Linked DNA regions of Drosophila melanogaster. The protein of the gene in region 3 interacts with the protein of the main gene of each other region in a pairwise test. Each region holds a gene or a part of one and is shown on either strand. Other genes may lie near its edges.

Evidence for each region.
Region 1: the proteins of CtBP (region 3) and H interact in a two-hybrid assay, tested with the Drosophila melanogaster proteins (5 studies listed by BioGRID).
Region 2: the proteins of CtBP (region 3) and exd interact in a two-hybrid assay, tested with the Drosophila melanogaster proteins (2 studies listed by BioGRID, with this or other methods).

What each region holds. Positions count from the first base shown.
Region 1 is NT_033777.3:20,620,420-20,627,979, reverse strand, and holds the start of H (hairless), read right to left. Parts: upstream 6,043-7,560; 5' UTR 5,485-6,042; coding exon 5,482-5,484; exon of another isoform or gene 5,397-5,481; coding exon 4,682-5,396; intron 4,610-4,681; coding exon 4,436-4,609; intron 3,850-4,435; coding exon 3,089-3,849; intron 2,939-3,088; coding exon 1,387-2,938; intron 1,221-1,386; coding exon 1,192-1,220; 3' UTR 1-1,191. UniProt on the Drosophila melanogaster protein: Is a potent antagonist of neurogenic gene activity during sensory organ development. The expression of distinct cell fates by the trichogen (shaft) / tormogen (socket) sister cell pair depends on the level of H activity.
Region 2 is NC_004354.4:15,991,172-15,997,051, forward strand, and holds exd (extradenticle), read left to right. Parts: upstream 1-1,528; 5' UTR 1,529-1,753; intron 1,754-1,764; exon of another isoform or gene 1,765-1,942; intron 1,943-2,300; 5' UTR 2,301-2,337; coding exon 2,338-2,602; intron 2,603-2,793; coding exon 2,794-3,112; intron 3,113-3,175; coding exon 3,176-3,434; intron 3,435-3,513; coding exon 3,514-3,801; 3' UTR 3,802-5,338; downstream 5,339-5,880. UniProt on the Drosophila melanogaster protein: Transcription factor which acts with the selector homeodomain proteins altering the regulation of downstream target genes such as wingless (wg), teashirt (tsh) and decapentaplegic (dpp), thus affecting segmental identity.
Region 3 is NT_033777.3:13,009,663-13,014,658, reverse strand, and holds the start of CtBP (C-terminal binding protein), read right to left. Parts: upstream 3,011-4,996; 5' UTR 2,911-3,010; exon of another isoform or gene 2,487-2,910; intron 1-2,486. Other genes in the region: CG11656 (uncharacterized protein), read right to left, coding at 3,700-4,495, 4,575-4,654; CG8031 (uncharacterized protein), read left to right, coding at 3,479-3,527, 4,889-4,970. UniProt on the Drosophila melanogaster protein: Corepressor targeting diverse transcription regulators. Hairy-interacting protein required for embryonic segmentation and hairy-mediated transcriptional repression.

The sequences.
Region 1 (7,560 bases), 7.6 Mb from region 3:
TTTTGCGTTAGGAATATGTTTTTTATTTGTATCAGTTTCAGTTGTACGAGTTCCGGTTTGAAATTGTCTGCTTAGGATCTTTTTGCTTTCCGTTTCTTGTAAATTTGTCGTATATGTGGATTTTTTGTACATTTTATTTGTTTTTGATTGGACAGCCACTGACAGCGAATGTGCACTAGGCACAGTTATATAATATTTTTGATGGTGACAACAATCGTGGAGGTTAAATTTAGATCCGCCGAGGATTTAAATTCAAACTTCAACAATTTTTTCGAATTTTAGTTTTTACAGTCTACCAAAAAATGTAAGACCAAAGAGTAATCTCTTTCGTTTTGAAGTACAGACGAGTTGTATAGTTTTGGATTGCTTTTATCTTTTAACTATTTTAGAATAATTATTCCGAAATAATTAAAAGATACATTTTTAAAAGTACTTAAAAAGTTGGTGTCGTATACAATCTGCTTAGTGCAAATTCCTGTCAACTGCATTTTGGACCACGATATCAAGAAATTCTAAAGTTTTCACCATAGAATACCTGCACATGCTTGCACATAAATGTTTTTATAGTAAACTTCTTTTTCTTTTTAATATTAATTTTTGTATCCCTAGTTCTGTTTCCATTTTTAAAGGCACAAGCATTTTATAAAAATCTGTTCTTGTAGTTTTGTTAAATATACTTTAAAATGTTATATTTTGCGATTCGTAACTAAGTTTTTCATTTTTTTTTTCTAAAAAAATTCAGGTTCAGTCTGTTTCAAGGAAATGTTTTGATGAAAAAAACGTAACTCTTTTTTGAGATTCTTTAAGACTTGCATTTTATACATCCTATAGAAAATGTTTTTATTAGTATTTCTTTCCATTAGTCGGCATAGAATAAAATTCCTTTGCATATTTTATTCAGTTTGTCGAAAATAAAATTTCTCAACTGATTGTATAAAGAGTTCTGGAACGGGTTTAAAAACAAAGTTGAGTTTTTCATCTCTTTTTGTATGCGATTTCTAAATGTTCGGCCCTAATTGAGAACCTAGGATTAGGCTTAGGATTAAACAATCGGGTTACAACTAAACTATCAGCGAACTTATCAAATTATATTACGTGTATTGAATGTCGTCTTAAGCGCTACTAGTGCGAAAATGTTCTTAACTCGAATGGTTGGCCCAGAAACTGGGGCAGCTGGGGCGTGTGTATGTCTCAGTGCTTTGACAGATTCAGTGGTAAGTCTAAGGAAGAAATAAATAAGAAACGTTATTAAATTGTGTTTTACGTGCATTAAATTGACAACATAATAAATGGATCTGTAATATATTTTCTTCAGACATTCCCAGAGGAATGAAAATTGAATCATCAAACTGCTTGCCATTATTGGTGCACTGATTGAATGCTTACCTGAACTTTGTTCATTCCTTAGACTACTAGTATGAAACATTGCGGAGGAGCTGGCGCCCGAAGTGGCCGCCGAGGAGGAGGCCGATGCGCTCGAGCTGCTCGGCGAAGTGGAGGCTGTGCGATGACTGGACGTTGCAGACATTTGGTCGGTACTACTATCAGTCAGTTTTGGCGTGGCCAGGTGAGCGGGAGAGTGGTGGGTGGTCAGTGCAGCCGGGTGCGGATGCTGGTGCGGATGGGCCAAGTGCGGATGCGTGTGGGGACTGGGCGCCGGTTGTCCAAAGGCTGCCGCAGCTGCTGCAGCGGCAACAGCCGCTCCCACTCCGTTATACGCGAACGCGTGATAGGCCGATTGGGGCGATAATCTCGCAGCAGCAGCTGCAGCAGCGGCGGCCGCTGAGCCACCGGGTTGTGGATGTGGCGACAGCAGGGGCGACGCTCCTGTCTGATAGTGGTGCATCCACAGCGGATTGTGCCTCAACGCCGCCAGTGTGGATATGTACGGGTTGTATATCGAAGGCGAGGGAATGTATGCGGCTGCGGCCGCTGCTGCCGCCGCTACTGCAGCTGCACTGCTGTTCGACGTGGGCGGCGCCGAGGTCGGACTTCCGGCCGAGCCGTTCCCGTTCACCTGGGGCGGTGGCGGGTACATATAGTAGTGCAGCGGCGAGCTACGCTGTAGGTGCGGCTGCTGCTGCATGTGCCGCCGTTCCGGGGGCGATGCACTCCGGTCGCCGGGCGAGGGACAGCTACTGCTGCTGGCCGACGGTGAAGCGAACTCGCGTCGGATCGATGCAGTCTTTTTGGGCACAGTACGCGGCGTCGTGGCTGGCGATGCTGGGGAAGAGCGCGGTGGCGACAGGTCCTGCGATGCTGAGCCCGATGTGGAAGGACGACCTGCTCCCGCATAGGGATCCCTGTAGAAGGAGTGGCCATAGTCTACGGGTGATCCCGCCGAGTACGGTGGCGAACGCTTCTTGGTTCCTGTATGCGAGGGCGATTTTCCGCCCCCGCCATTGCTGCCACTCACATCGGGCGACTTTGGCGAGGTGAGCAGGGCGCGTGGATAGCTCGAGGAACTGGGTTGGTACATTGAGTGCTGTGGATGGTGCACATTGCTGATAATAGCTGCCGGGTGATCGCCGCACTTCTTGCCAGAGGAGGAGAAGGATGAGCTACCGCTGCCACTGCTCCCACCTAGCAGGGAGTGGATACTGTAAGAGCTGTTGAGCCGCGTTGGCTGCGTTGACAAGGTCGCTGGCGAAGTGCTGGATGAGCTGGAGCCGGGACTGGGGCTTGGCTTTCCTTGGGGTGGCGCCAAGTTCATTGGTGACGCCTTGCCAGCCGGAGACGATGTCGAAGTTCCCTTTGCTCGACTCCGTTTTCCTCCAGCACCACCGCTACTAGCTCCACCGCTGCCGTTGTTTACGCATCCGTTGTCCTCTAGCGACACCTTTTCGAACTCGCGCAGGATTCTTTTCCTGGGCGACACGTGCTGGGTGTGGTACTCGACTAGTCGTCCGGCTGCTGTCGCAGAAGAGGGTGGAGAAACCTAAAAGAAGATATTTAAGTGGTCAATTCAAAGTTTTTTCTTTATGAAAGTCCCTAACTAGATTTACAACTTTAACATAATAAAAATGTTGCAGTACATGATTAACATTTGAAACCGCAGCTTATGCAGGTTGTGCCAAGTAAAACTTACTTTGTGCGTCAAGGCGTGACTTAGACCGCCACCAATGCGATCTGAAGACGTCGTTGTCGATGCGATCACAGCTGATGTCTTCGACATTTGCTCAAGCCGTGCTGGTACGCTATCGATGAGTTTCTGAATGATGCTGCTGAGCTTGGCTTTTGGCTTCGGCTTGGATTTTGGTTTCCCAATGCTCGCCTTTAGATCGCCGTTTAGATCACCATTTACGGCATTCGTGATTCTGGGCAGCTCTGTCATGGGTTCCTCATCCTCGCTCGTATTCATCTTCATCTCAACATCAACAGTCTCATCTTTTGGTTGTGGTTCCACTTGCTGACCGGGCGATGCTTCTTTTGACTCGCTATCATCGCTAACCGCCTTCTTCGGCTCCTTTTCGAGCCGTTCAGCATCATCCTCGCCTTTGATCGTGTCCGGTTTTTCAATTTTAATCTCATTTGTGGTTGTGTCCGCCACAGCAACATTTTCAATTTCAACGGCCTCTGCAGCTTCTGCTTTAAGAGTATCGTCTCCATTTTCCGCCTTGATTGCCGTCGCAAAAATGGGCTGCTGATCCTCGCTGGTGGTAAGCGGCTCGTGGGGGCGCCGTCGTTTGCGAGCGGCTGTCCGGAGAGCAGCTCGGCCAAGCGTACTGTTCCTGGGGCGGTGGAAGAAGAGCGACAGCTCCTTAGATATGCCGCGCCTGGGTCGGGACTGTTTCCAGGGCTGGTCTCGCTGCCAAGGAGAGGATTGTATCGAGCTGTTGTCGTCCGAAACTGCAATGAAGAGGAATATTAACGCAAGGTATACATAGACAAATTGTAGTAGTTAATTATAGTTTGGCATAAATAAATATTTGCTTTTGTTTGATTCAGATTGTTAACAATTTATGAAATAGGATTTAAATGTATACAAGGATGGGAGGACATTATATTTTATAGGATCGAATTGGAAAACTGTCATACAAAGAACATGACCGATTCTGAACAGTTTGGTTTTTTCTTACTATTTCATTAAAACGTTTGACATTTTCGTAGATTTTAAATATAATATTAGAGATGGCCGATATATACAGTTTTAAAATAGATCAGAGATTTGAACATAGGTGCGGTCGTTTTTTACAGATTTTTTGTTTTCGAAATTGGACTTTATCCTCTACGTGCCATTAGAACAATTTAAGTCAAATAGGCACATGTTTTTTATAACTGCAAGTGTTTGTAAGCTTTGACCGCTCGGATTAAGCTAGCTATCTACACATGTTTCAAAATCCAATTCCTTTTACTCAAATCTGATTCCAATCGGGTCAAGTAATTAAATGGAAGGGGTAATCCGTTGGGAACTACTATGCCATGTGTTACGTACAGCTCAGCGATGTGGAATTCTCGTTCTTTGGATACGCTGTGGTCACCGCCGACGTTGGGGTCACAGTTGCGGAGGTGGCCGCCGATGGAGGGCGGAAGGTCTTGCGCGTGACCGAAACCCAGCCGCTTTTATCGCCATCCTTGGACCGCGCCAGTTCCAATATGAATTTGCCATCTACGCAGAATAGTTAAAAAATGGTTTTCTTTACACTGCTCTGATTCGGTATAAATAAACCAAGATACTTACCTTTAAAGAACTGCAAACGACCACCGTAGCCGCCCCAGCTGTTGTTGCCGTGCGTCGATATTGGTGTCCTGCCCATATCAAAGCTTCCGCCGGAGTTGCTTCCCTTGCCGATCTTCGCTGTTCCCGCTGCCGCCGCTACTACTGCAGTGGTGGGCAGTGAGCCTGTTGCAGCTCCGCCCAAGGAACTGTAGTCCAGGACGCCCCCCAGGACATCGATGGTGGGCTTGGACGCAGTAGCTCCAACGACGCTGGCTGCCACTGCGGCGGACGCAGCCATAATGCTACTACTTTTGGGCGTCTTGGCATGCGGCAAAAAGCCATTTGAGGCGGTGGAGCTGGAGGATGAGGGCGTTGTCGTTGTCGTGGGCGTGGTCGTCCTGCTTAAGTTGGCGGGCAGAGGCGGTGGCAGAGGGGGGTAGCTGGTGCTGCTACTGCCGTTTAGGCCATTTTTCAGTAGAAACTTGGCGGCCGCCTCTGCAATTATGCTACTAGTATTGTTGTTGCTGTGGCTGCTCTCGTTGCTGGTGTTGTTGTTTTTGCTGTTGCTGCTACTTGCTGCGTCGTCGTTGCTGTTGTTGTCGTTATTGCTGCTGCTGCCGTTGTTGTTGTTGTTGCTGGAGTGACTGCTGTTACTGTTAATGTTACTTTTATGCTCATCGGTCATTGTTGTCTGTCTGTTGCACTCTGCTACGCTTGTGACGTCATTAAGCAGGGCCTTCAAAGAGAAACATTCGTTTGCATTGGGCAAGTTAGGCACAATTTCGCATTTCCAAACCGCATTATATGGACAATTTAAATACCATTTAATTCATTGTTTTTGTTGTAAATTCCTCGCGCAAAGTTCGCGGCCGGGAAAAACGGAGCCGACGGCGTCGCTAAGCAAAATATGCCAGCTCGGCACGGCGTTAGGAGCGTCTAGCACCATTTTCATGTTTTGGGGCACGGTACCGTTCCCTATTTTTATTGCACACACATATTCTTATTGCATTTTGGCCATTGGCCCATTCCACTGTACGTTATTTAACCAATTTCACAGGCACACACGGCGGGCCGTTCTGCTTATATGTGTTTCTTACAGGCCCAAATGTTAAGCGGAGGCAGCGCACAAAGAGAGCACAAAACGAAGTGCGGACAAGGTGGAGATAAAATGGAAAAAACGTTCTCCAATTACCGTCAGCGTATATATCGATTGCCGAATAGTGTGTGAAAGCGGAGGTCGGTGGACCGGACCGATAATTCCGTGGTCAGCGGGCAGTTGGGGGCAGCTCTATTTCCAACCAATAAACTAATAAATAAATTTAAAAATTATCAACGAAAAACGCAGCTCGGTGCGCTGTGTGACCGTCAACTAAGAACGTCAAAATCCACGGCGCCAGTCAGCATGCTAGCAAATATCATGTTTCCACTGGCCAATGTTATAGTGCTGCATTCGCTGCACGTTCACATTAATGTTATCTCAATGTAAGCTTACACACAGGTCGCTGCAAAAAGCTAGTGCAAGGAACTCCCAAAATAAAATGCTTAATAATAAAAAGAATTGTGTTCTTTGAACTACATCTATTTGGTAAAAATCCTAAATCCTATATTTTTACAATTCAAGTCAAATAAGATTACGAATTCTGGCAATTAGCGATAGTTATCAATGCTTAAAAGCACAATCTTTAGCGAACGATTTTTAAAATAGTAACGGTTTTAAATATGAAATAAAATAAACAACTAAAATCACAATCGGGACAGTTTATAAAACGTAATAAATGGTCGCTTTTTATAGCAATTGTTCAACTCAACTTTAATTTCAGGATTGAAATTGGAAAACTTTGCAACCGAAAACATGCTTTTAAAAATGTTTGATTAAAACAATGTTGTATTTTCACTAATTTATGCTGTTTCCAAAATATATTAATTAAATTTCTAGCACCTGAGATTATTAATTTGGAATACCTGTAGGGTTTTAAAGATTTTCAAGGCGAAAGTTTAAGGATATGACTTAAAGCAGTTAATAATGTTACATTGAAAAGTTCTTCTTTGTCGTAGAATAAAATATTTATTTATTATTAAGTCCAGAAGTTAAACATTAAGCGATAATATGGTATGTTACGATAAATTCCCACACATCAGCTAGGTAAATACTTATGGTTGCAGGTGTCTTTTTATTGCGTATAATACTGTTTGCTCGTTTATCGAATTTCTGGTAATGGTGAGCTCGGGCGGGTTAAAATATATATTTAAATAGCCCTTGCATGCGGAGTACAACCCTTCTTCAGCTTCTTAAATTTAAACACAACTCGTAATGTCGCTTTCGCCACCGCGGCCATCCGCCAATTGTTATTCAGATACTCTGAAGTCCTAATGCAAAATATAATGTAAGTCTTACGCGTCTATCATGTCCGATTATCAGTAGGTTAGTTTAAGTATAGGCTACATTCGAGTTGCTTTTGATATGGGCGAAAAGTCGTCGATTGCACGAGAACGGCTAAGAATATATGCTTAGTAGATATTGCACAAAGTAAAAAGTAAGACATTACAACAGAGGGCACACAACGTAATAAATTAAATTTAGTTTTGTCTTCCGTTTGCCAACATAATTCAAATATCACAGACGTTTTGCCAATTGTTTAACTAATTTGCCGATTTGCTTCATAATTTTGCATGCCAAACTGGAAAACAAAGAGTGATGGGAATCAAATTCAAGCCGCGGGATTCGATACATATGTATGCCTAAAGGTCAGTCAAATGTGGAAAATGTGAAATCAAGTCTTGTGTTGAACATGGCACGTAATTGCTAAAAGGAAAACTGGAGCCACGCCTACGAGGGTAAATTGCTATGCCTATCATCTATGCTTTTCTCTGCGTGTAAGTACTAAGTGTTCTCTAACTGC
Region 2 (5,880 bases), on a different chromosome or scaffold from region 3:
CTCTCGGGTATTCTTTGTGAAGTCAATCGCAAATTGACTTGGAAAATATATATGGATAAATCAAAATCAAACAAATCGCACTGCCACGGGAAATCGATAACTTTTTTTTTTTTTGATAGCTCTGATTCCGTGCTAATATTGAAAAATATTAGTAACGCTTTTAACGCGCTTATGTATCGCAAAAATTGAAATTTTTGGTCTCTCAACTATTCTGCAAAGGGAAAGAAAATAAAATTAGGAATGCGCATGAACGAACATATGTATACCACTCCGTACTAAGTATTTCTTACATTACTTTAGTTTAGCTCAAATTTACTTATAATTTCGAAGGAAAAAGGTTAATTTAACATTCAAGTATATATATATTTTACATATATATCTTTTCCTATTACTTATGTATTCAGTACTTTTGTATAATGGCCATAAAAAACACTGTTGAAGCGTGATTTTTGTGTAAGCACGAAGTAAAGTAGCTTTATGCAGATATACACTAGACCCAACGTTACAAAAATTGTGGAAAACTGAATTATTTAGTATAGATATATATAAATGTACATTTTCATGCACGTATGCATTTACATATGGATGAAAGCCACGCCATTTAAACTTTTGAGGTTGTGTTCGTTTTGGTCACAATCACTTTTCAATACCTTTTCCACAAGTTTTCTATAAAGCGTTTCTGATCACAATGAAAGTAAATTAATAATTTTACTGAATTAACCGTTTAAGAAAAGATTTTCTCCGAAGTCCACGAACATACGACTAAACGTCACAGCACAATATGACCATAACGACTTTAGTGGGCTGCAGCCTATCACTATCGATTGGCCGAATATGATGTGAATGAATTTTAGCCTTTTCACACTTTCACTTTTATATAATTTATATGGTATTTATTAAAATGAAGATATGTAATAATACGCTTAAAAACGAAAGACCATTTTTAAAAATGAAGTTGACTAAAATAGAAACAAATATATGTGTTATATAATTAAACGTAGTTCCAATCAGCCTTTTAAAATATATGTTATAAGAGTGGATCATCTGTATTTCTTCTATATTCCAATACCAATATACCACATTTTTTGTAGAGGATATCTTATTTATTTTATTGAAAAAATGTTTAAAATATTATTTCAAGAGCCACATTTTAAATAGTATCGATACCCAACTCGCAGTGAGTAAGCACTAGAATGTAACTACGGGTAAGATATCGATTGTCCACGTTTTCACTAGCAAATATAAATTGCATTTTATGGAATACTTATCGATATTCTTACAGTACTGGAAAACTTTTTCATATCGATTTATTTTTCTGCGTATACAGAACGTACTTTCGTTTCATTGTTGTCCAAAAAAGATAATAATATTATATACTTGCGGTTATTTACAACTGCAAGTAATGTGTCACTAATTTTTAGTGAAAATAACACAAAATACGACTTGTACGGCAAATAAGTATACGAGGCAATCACGATAAATAAAAAACCGTGAGTATGGAATTTCAAGTGGACGCTTCTCAATACTTACATGCACATATATCGATGTGTGGATATGTACATACACCTTGTTATAAACAGTTTAAATCTTTTCTGACGTAATAAAATCTCAAGAATGTACATGTAAAACCAACAAAATGTTTTCAAACTGCATTCAAATTAATGCTTAACCATAACCTTGTGTGTATGTAAATATAAACTTGGCAGGTTGATTTTTTTTTACCATTCTGCTGGCACTAAACATACGTACAAGTGTATGTATGTGATGCACTCGGCGTCATTTATCTGTACATGTGTAAAATGTAACGTTACCTGTGGTACACAGCAATAAATAAATAGAAATAAGTTCATAAATAGTTCGGGTAACTGCCCAGCTTCGTGCTACGCATCTGAGATACTTTTTCACCCCCAAAAAGATATGCCGCTTCATGAGATTGCGACAGGTGGAGATTATTGCATTTCCAATAGGATACCAAAATGTCTTTTCACTTTTGCTCAAATGTCTGGGGGATTATTTTGTGGTGGGGTTTGTGGGTTTAATGGCTTTGTTGGTATCTCTTCTATAGATATGATGAATTTTGTAGCAAAAGATTTAATTGGTGTATTTGTTTTCAGTTTGTTAAGTATACATTAACTCAAGTTTTTACTACATTTTTAAGGGTTTCAAACTTATGTTTTTATATAAAAAAGAAATATTTATTAAATAATAAAACACTAAAAAATCGAATTGGTAGAAAAAATATTGGGTTATTTCCTTTTTTCTTGCATGATTTTAATATTTGATGTTTAATATTATTACAGAAACTTGGATTTGTAGCTTGCTTTGTGTTGCGGCACCATGGAGGACCCCAATCGCATGTTGGCCCACACCGGCGGCATGATGGCTCCGCAAGGATACGGCTTGTCTGGCCAGGATGATGGCCAGAATGCCGGCAGCGAGAACGAGGTGCGCAAGCAGAAGGACATCGGCGAGATATTGCAACAGATAATGAGTATCTCGGAGCAATCACTTGACGAGGCCCAGGCCAGAAAACATACACTAAACTGTCACCGAATGAAGCCGGCACTTTTCTCTGTACTTTGCGAAATCAAGGAGAAGACCGGTAAGCTTAAAACCCTATATTTATCTCTCATTCAAGACCATCAAATAAGTTGAAATGGTATTATGGATTTTGTGATTTGCTTGTGATACAATTGATTTACTAAATCAAACACAATTCTTAACGTAATAGTCTTAAAACGTTCAGTATGAAATTATTTTTATCATTCGTCTTCTTCGTTAAAACTATTACAGTCCTCTCGATTCGCAACACCCAGGAGGAGGAGCCCCCAGATCCGCAACTGATGCGCTTGGACAACATGCTGATTGCCGAGGGCGTGGCCGGACCCGAGAAGGGCGGTGGCGGAGCAGCGGCTGCCTCTGCGGCTGCGGCCAGCCAGGGCGGTTCCCTGTCCATCGATGGTGCTGACAATGCCATTGAGCATTCCGACTACCGTGCCAAGCTGGCACAGATCCGTCAAATATATCACCAGGAATTGGAGAAGTACGAGCAGGCATGCAACGAGTTCACCACGCATGTCATGAATCTTCTACGCGAACAGAGTCGCACGAGGTTGGTGTATATAGATAAATGCAAAATGATGGCCATCATTTGGGTAATATAATCGTATTTCAGACCCATTACACCAAAGGAAATCGAGCGAATGGTGCAGATCATCCACAAAAAGTTTAGTTCCATACAAATGCAGCTGAAGCAGTCGACCTGCGAGGCTGTAATGATACTTCGTTCGCGTTTCCTGGACGCACGCCGCAAACGCCGCAATTTCAGCAAGCAGGCATCCGAGATTCTCAACGAGTACTTCTACAGTCACTTGAGCAACCCATATCCATCCGAAGAGGCCAAAGAGGAGTTGGCACGAAAGTGTGGCATCACGGTAAGTAGTGTAGGGCACATTAATCAACAATGCAAATCCGATTGCAGCATAGTAAATAAAACAAAACACACTCATGCAGGTCTCGCAAGTATCGAATTGGTTTGGCAACAAGCGTATTCGCTATAAGAAGAACATTGGTAAGGCACAGGAGGAGGCCAATTTGTATGCGGCCAAGAAGGCGGCTGGTGCTTCACCGTATTCCATGGCCGGTCCACCCAGCGGGACAACCACACCCATGATGTCACCCGCTCCGCCACAGGATTCCATGGGCTATCCAATGGGCTCCGGCGGATACGACCAGCAGCAACCGTACGACAACAGCATGGGCGGCTACGACCCAAATCTCCATCAGGATCTAAGCCCCTGAGGATCAGGGCTGTGAACCACTCCCAGTCCGGAGAATCCCTCATACAGTTGCGGTCAAAATAACTGCGCTGAAAAATCTAACATGCAGTTTTTTCATAATTATGCGGCTTATATTTGCTTCTTCGCCAAGAACAACAATTCTTAAGGGATTTTTAAATTCAGCTTTCTGTCCTTTGGTTTCGAGTCAGATAAGTTTAAAATTCCCATCAATTTAGATATAGTTCCGATAGATATACATAAATACGTGAGTAGAATATAAATACGTAATAGTTAGTTTGTGCTTGCTACATTTTGGTTGGCAGAAAAAACTTTGCCTGCTTAAATCAAAAAAGAAAGTAAATAAGCTGATATGGTTTTTTAATTGACACAGTCTCCTGCTTTTTAACAATATATGCATGCAGGATGTATTAAGAAGTCGACAATTGAATAATGGCCTAATTAAGAATATTTTTTGCCCGAACATAAAACGAAAAGTTTGCTCGCTTTTTTTTTTTAATTCACAATCAATTGAAATGGAAAGCATGTTGTTTGTGGCATGTCAACTGTAAAATACATAAATACGTAATAATTCGCTTAAGCGATTATAATTTGATCAACGTTCTTTAAAAAGGGTTAATAACCAATGCAGTGACTTTTTCTGCATAGCCCCATTTAGCTTATATATTAACCATCGAAAACATATGCAAAGAAACTCGATTAAACTGGTAGTATACGAATATTTTCACAACGAGTGGAGGAGGCACAAGTTTCAGAGCTATTATTTTGACCGCAGCTGTGTATAAATATATTTTAATACATTTACCTACATTTGCGGGTATATACAAATATTGCATGTAAATCATACTATGACGATTCTTTTTTGGCTACAGTACGTATACGACAGCAAAATAGTGTTTACTGAATTTAAAACTGTACGAAATTTTTAAAAACTTGAACAATACGAAAATACGAAACTAAACCATGTATACGATGTATATCAAATAAATAAATAATACATGTTGTTGTTATCCGCACACACGTCAACTAATTACAAAAATATTTTGAATGTAAAAACGGAAAAGAAAAGTCTTGGATAAACAAAATGTCACATTTCTATCGAAGGACGAATTGTATTATTTAACAGCTTATAACATTTAATAGATTTATTAACGTGTATTTTAAAAGTCTCAAAACAATTGTTTGTTTCTTACATCCTAAAAAGTATTAAACATTAAATCTTAATGGATTTCTTGCTATAAAAACGAACTTCCCAACTTAATTGCATTATAAAATCAAGAACAAATTCGTCTTTCGCTTAGTAAGAAGTGTACACTACTCTTTGCCCCCAATTAAAACGGATATGAAAACAGATTATTTGAAAGTATACAAAACGATTATAATTTTAAATGATAAATAACATATGTCTTTGACAGACTTTCGCTCACATTACGGTCAAATGAAACCATTCAATGTATTTCAGTAAGTAAGGTACTGCATTAAACATTTTGGATAACAATAGAAAAATATATAAATACACAACTTTACACAAATAACTTAATAAATCAAAACGAAGTATTAATTAATGGTTTTTTGGGAGTATTAAAGAAAAGGGCGTTATCCTTTGCAGATAATCTATACACGTAATAGAAAGAGATGGAGCATCTGTAGATACACTTGCTCTTCTTTAATTAAAACTATCTGGCTCACAGATAGAAATCATTCTTTTATGTGGGGTTGGTCAATAAAAACAGAAGAATTTTAATTTTTTAGATTTTTGGCAGCTGTAAAACAGACAAAAAATTTTAATTTTAGGCGTATTTTATTTTTATTATGGTTCATTACGGCTTAATGTACTTCACCCCACATCTTACAGTTATTCCCAAAAGTGTGTAGTAATTTATATAAATCACTTTGATCGACCAATTTTAAATTTATAAATAATAAAGTAGAAATTTTAAAAAAATTCACCCGCTGCCCCAATGCATTCCACAATTTAAGAACACGTTCCACTTATCTAGCACTCAATCGCCGCTACCTTGACGCGCATGCTGGCACTGCCCGGAATACTTTGAATTGTCAATACGGCCACACTGTTGGCAAC
Region 3 (4,996 bases):
GGAAAAAATCAAATGAAATACAATTTATATATATATATATATGTATATATTATTGCCTCGCACGCTTACGAATTGCTGATTCTGCGTTTTGCGGCTGCTTGGCTATTTCTATTTATTATTGTTGCCATATCGCTGCATCTGTTGTTTTGGACGAATTTGGCTGAGCCATCTGAAAGTGTGTGTTTTCTGTTTTCATTTGAAAAGTGCTTGCGCAGGAGTATAGCAGATATGGCGAAAGGTTTGCCATCAAACATGCAACGATTAGCTGGCCAAAATACATCTTTCCACCGCTGAATAGATGAAAGACATCCGAATTTGTAAACTATCATTCATTTTCAACAAATTTATAACTTGGACAATTTAGCTTTAAGGGTATTAGAGCCTGTACCATCAACCGAATTGCGTTGTATTTGCCTTTCAGATCGATAGAGATAGAGCGCAGAAAAAAAATACAAGAATATGAGGCACACATGGCTGCCATTGTGTTTCTGGTCGAATTTTAGTTCCTCGGACTTTTGTGTTTAAATTTAAACGTTTGCCTGCTATTTTGGTGGCTGCTTTCGCTTTGTTTTGCGCCCCGTGCACCACCAAGTGTGAAATTCTTTGGGCAGGTGTGCATTTTTTCACGCGCGCAGTCGGCGGCAAACACACAACAACAAACATTGCGCAAAAACACAGAGCATCAAACGGATTGGGGGGGGGGGTCGTACGAGGCGTGGCAGTGGGCGGCATCGCCTGGCATTGACAATAAATAACCGTTAGCTAGTGGGAGTGGGCAGCCCATACACAATCAAATTTATTATTTGCCAAAAAAGGGCAGTGACAAGAAGCGGAAAACGTTGTTGCGCCAAAAAAACTAGTAACAACAAATTCAGCAACATGTACAGTTATCGATGGACTATATATATAGAAAATTCCATGGCAATGCAAATATTGAAGTGGAAACGGGAAAAGCGGCTCTCTCTGCCACATATTTCCATATTTCTATTTATTCTATAGCGAAAACTACATTGGGTAGGAAGAATTCTTAACGACTGCAATACAAATTCAGTGGCTAATAACTATAAATTTAAGTGTTTTTATAAAGCAAATTCCTCAGCATTTCATTTTTGCCCAATGACGAACAATTAGCCAAAAATTTCATAACCGCAATTAACTTTAACTTTAAGGCAATCAATAATTTCAATTGTGCCTGCTGCTTTTAAGGGTTTGTAATCAGTCTAGATACCCCAAAAGTGCGCAAAAAGTTGCGGGGAATACAACAAATGACTAAACAACTAACAGTCGCTATAATTTGAACTCTTTATGTGGCAGAAGTTTGTCTGTATTTCCGTTTTTGGGCAAAAACAAAAACACCATTTGTAATCCTCTTCGGAGTTTTGAGCACTGCGAGCAATACCAACAACATTCCCGTTGCAAGTGCGGCAGTATGTGGCTGGGAGGGGAGAGGTTTAGGGAGGGGGGAGCCCAGAGTTGCTTGTCTGTCTGCCTCTTCATGTGTGCGTGTGTGTGTGTGTATGACGTATACGTTTGTATGTGTGTGATGGGTACAGGCACGTCGAACAGTGAAAGGGCGAACGAACAAGAGAGAAGAGAGAGAGCGATAGAGATAGAAGAAGCTATGACAAAAACACGACAAGCGCAAAAATTGTAAGAAAACTAGAAACAAGCATCAATTTGAATGGACATTCGTAAGTTGATCAAACTTTTTCACTTGGTTGTGTATTCAAATCGGCATAAACACACACAAACAAACAATCGCAACGGTTGTTGAGTAAGTGTGTGCGCTTGTAATTTGCAATCAATATGCGGGCGCAGGAAATAAAAGCTATTTATACTTTTAAAGCTTTAGTTCGCGAAGAAGAAACGATAAGCAGCACTTTCACCCTTTAAAGGCTTTTAATCCGAGCGAAAGAACGAAAACTCCCGGTTGAAATGTGTCAACATGAGGCTTTAGTTGGTTTTCAAACTCGTTGCTTTTGGCCTCTCCCTCCCACCCTTTCTCTTGCACTCGCGCTAGCTCGCTCTTTCTCTCTCTGTCGCACCAAATGTGGCGGCGGCAAAACAACAACGATGAGACAGCATGTTGCAGTGGCGTGGGCAAAAGGGGGGTGCTTGAGAAAAGGGGGACGTTGCGCAGTGAACCTTGCGTGTGTATTGTCACTAGGCGGGCGGAAAAAAATATAAATTACAAAGAGAGTGTATGTATCTGTGGCTGTGTGCGTGTGCGGGGAAATTATTGCACAATTTTATTTATGTTTTGCATAGAATATGGCAGGCATTGCTCTCTCTCTCTCTCTCTCACTCACTCACACACGCACTCACTCGACTTTTGCATTAAACCGCAACAATACTTGGTCATGTGTGTGTGCGTACCCACACACGCACACCCGCATCACCTATACAGGCAATAGCAGTTCCGCTTTAAAATTCATCAGAATTCTGCACGTTTAAATTTTTCTTGTACACGTTTATCGCACACTCACACACACGCACGCACACAGGCACAGGCGCACACTCGTTGCAAACGGAAAGGCAAATGGGAAATATATGGTGTAGTAATCCGTGGAAAAATCGCCGCTGCCGCGGATTTTCGATTGTGGTATTATTAAATAGCTGAAACGCAATCAGCGGCGCACAATTTGATTTTCAGCTCTCGTTTTCGCCTTTTTTTCTCTCGCTTATTCGCCTATTCCTTTGTGGCGGCGGCGACGGCGGCGTCGGTTTTCTTCTCTCTTTTCTTTTTCTTTTTTTGCGAGTTCACAATTGGGCAAGAAATTCACGTGCCAAAAACGCGGCCACACACAATTTTCGGGGACAAACACTTGGCGGCGGGTCTCATGCACCGTTGCCGACCACTTTTCACAAATTTTATGCACTTTTTGGGCAGTTTTCCCACAATTAATTTACCAGCAACGCGTCCAAATTCCACTCGCAGCTTTCAAAATGGCGGAATACGAACACGGCGGATTTTTAGGTTTTAGTACAGCAATGACGCTATGCGAACAGTGTGACCGCACACGGGTCGTTCGAAAATACCTCGGTGCGCGCAGGCAAACTGCAAGAATTATGGTATAGTTTGAAATGTTGGTATTGCAGAATTCCGACTTTCGACTTCCGTGAGTTTCAGTTGTATATGTTATGCGATTTCATTTATGGAAATTAATAAAAAACAACACTTAAATAAAATTACGTTACCTTATGTATTGTATTTTATTTGTGTGATTTATTATTTAGAATAATAAAAAAGTATTAATGGTATATATGATTATACCAAAAAAAAAACGATATTTAAGTACTTAATGCAGCCCTGAAGAAGTGTGACCGCTGATCAGCGAATCCAGAGAACGTGTTTATTTCAAAAACAAGACGACGGTCACACTGCTGTACCAATAACAAAGAACTCGTTTTTTCTACAAGTAACGGCCAGTTAATAGCTCTTACTAACTAAACAGACCGATTAGGGATCTCGCACAAAATGTCGGCCAGAAGAGCAACCCATGCAGGCAGCTGGTACACGGACTCGGGTGAGTAACAACCCAGCTGCGGCCCAGAAGATAACACAATCAATTATTGCATCGCCTATGGGTGTGGGATAAACGCATATGTATTGCACCTGTGCGTGTTTGCCTGTGTGTGTGTTTGTGTGCGGGTAATGAACCTTAGGGTGAACCAAAAATGTAACTACAGGTCACCAATTCAGAAGTTCTTTTCCGGATCCGAGCCAACCGCATTGCGAATCTCGTCCATGCGATCGTATGCGATTTCGGTGGCCCAGCACAGACGCTTCTCCAGCTCGCTGTTGCGCCGCCGCTGCTGACGCAGTGCATCCAGTCCGCGTTCCAACTGAGTGCATGCCTGGAAGAAGGTGCTCAGCTCGGGTATGTCGCCGAATTCGCCGGGATGCCGACGGAATCCCTGCGTGGCGTCCGTGGATAGCTTGTCCAGGCGATTTTGCAGGAAACGCTGGTCGAACATCATCTGAAGCTCTGCAGTCGTCGCTTTGCCCAACTCGTTGTTGGATTCGTTTAGGTGCAGGTCCCGTATGCGGTCCTTCAAGCCCGTGAAGCTAACCGACTCCAATTTCTCGCCAATGCCCTGGAAGAGTTCGTAGCTCTGCTTGAGCTCCAGCTGCATCTTCCGGACATCTTCGTCGATGCTTTTGGCCGCTTGCGATTCAAGGAAGTCGGCACGGGCACTGGCCTCCACGGGCGGAGCGTCATATCCTGATCTTAGCGAATAGCTCGAGGATGTGGAGACCGGATCCGATGGCTTCTCCTGGGCTCCACCTCCAGTTAAACGATCTTCAGATGATCTGGTACCCGACGACGAACTCTTTGTACTGCCAGCGGACGAGGAGGAGGCCTTACTATTGTTCTTCTTGGAACTCCTCGATTTTGCTTTCCTTGTTTTCCTTATGGGCCCGAAAATGGGCAGCGGATTGGGACTCAGGAGCAGTTCCTGTGACGCCTCCTTGTCGGAATCATCAGCAGCCCTGTTGTAGGATTATAAATGGATTGATTTTTTTCTTCTTTTATATATATATATATATATTGGGTAACTTGATAACTTACTCTTGAGATAATATAGCTGTAAGCTCGTTCCGAATGCGATTCATGAGCTCATCGCTTTGTTTTTCCTTATCAGTTTCCATCGCGGAATGTTCAACTAAAATTTAAATCAATATTTAATAACTTTATATCGCTGCTGTGATAAGTCTCGATTTAGTGAAAGTCTTATAAACCAGGAAATATTTGTTTGTTTGCTGCTAGGCAACGACTGGCCAACTATTTTCGTTGATTTCGAAACTGAAACCAATTCCTGAGCAGGGAATTATGGTTTACGATATTATTTATTCGTTAATAAATGTATTTACTTTGCTTTTCAGGCGCCGAGCTCTCGAGACAGTTGGATCGTTGGCTGGGTGCCGCAGATTTGTCCCATGGACCGGCTCGTGCCATCATTGCTCCGTAAGATTTAACCGAATTCTTGCAAT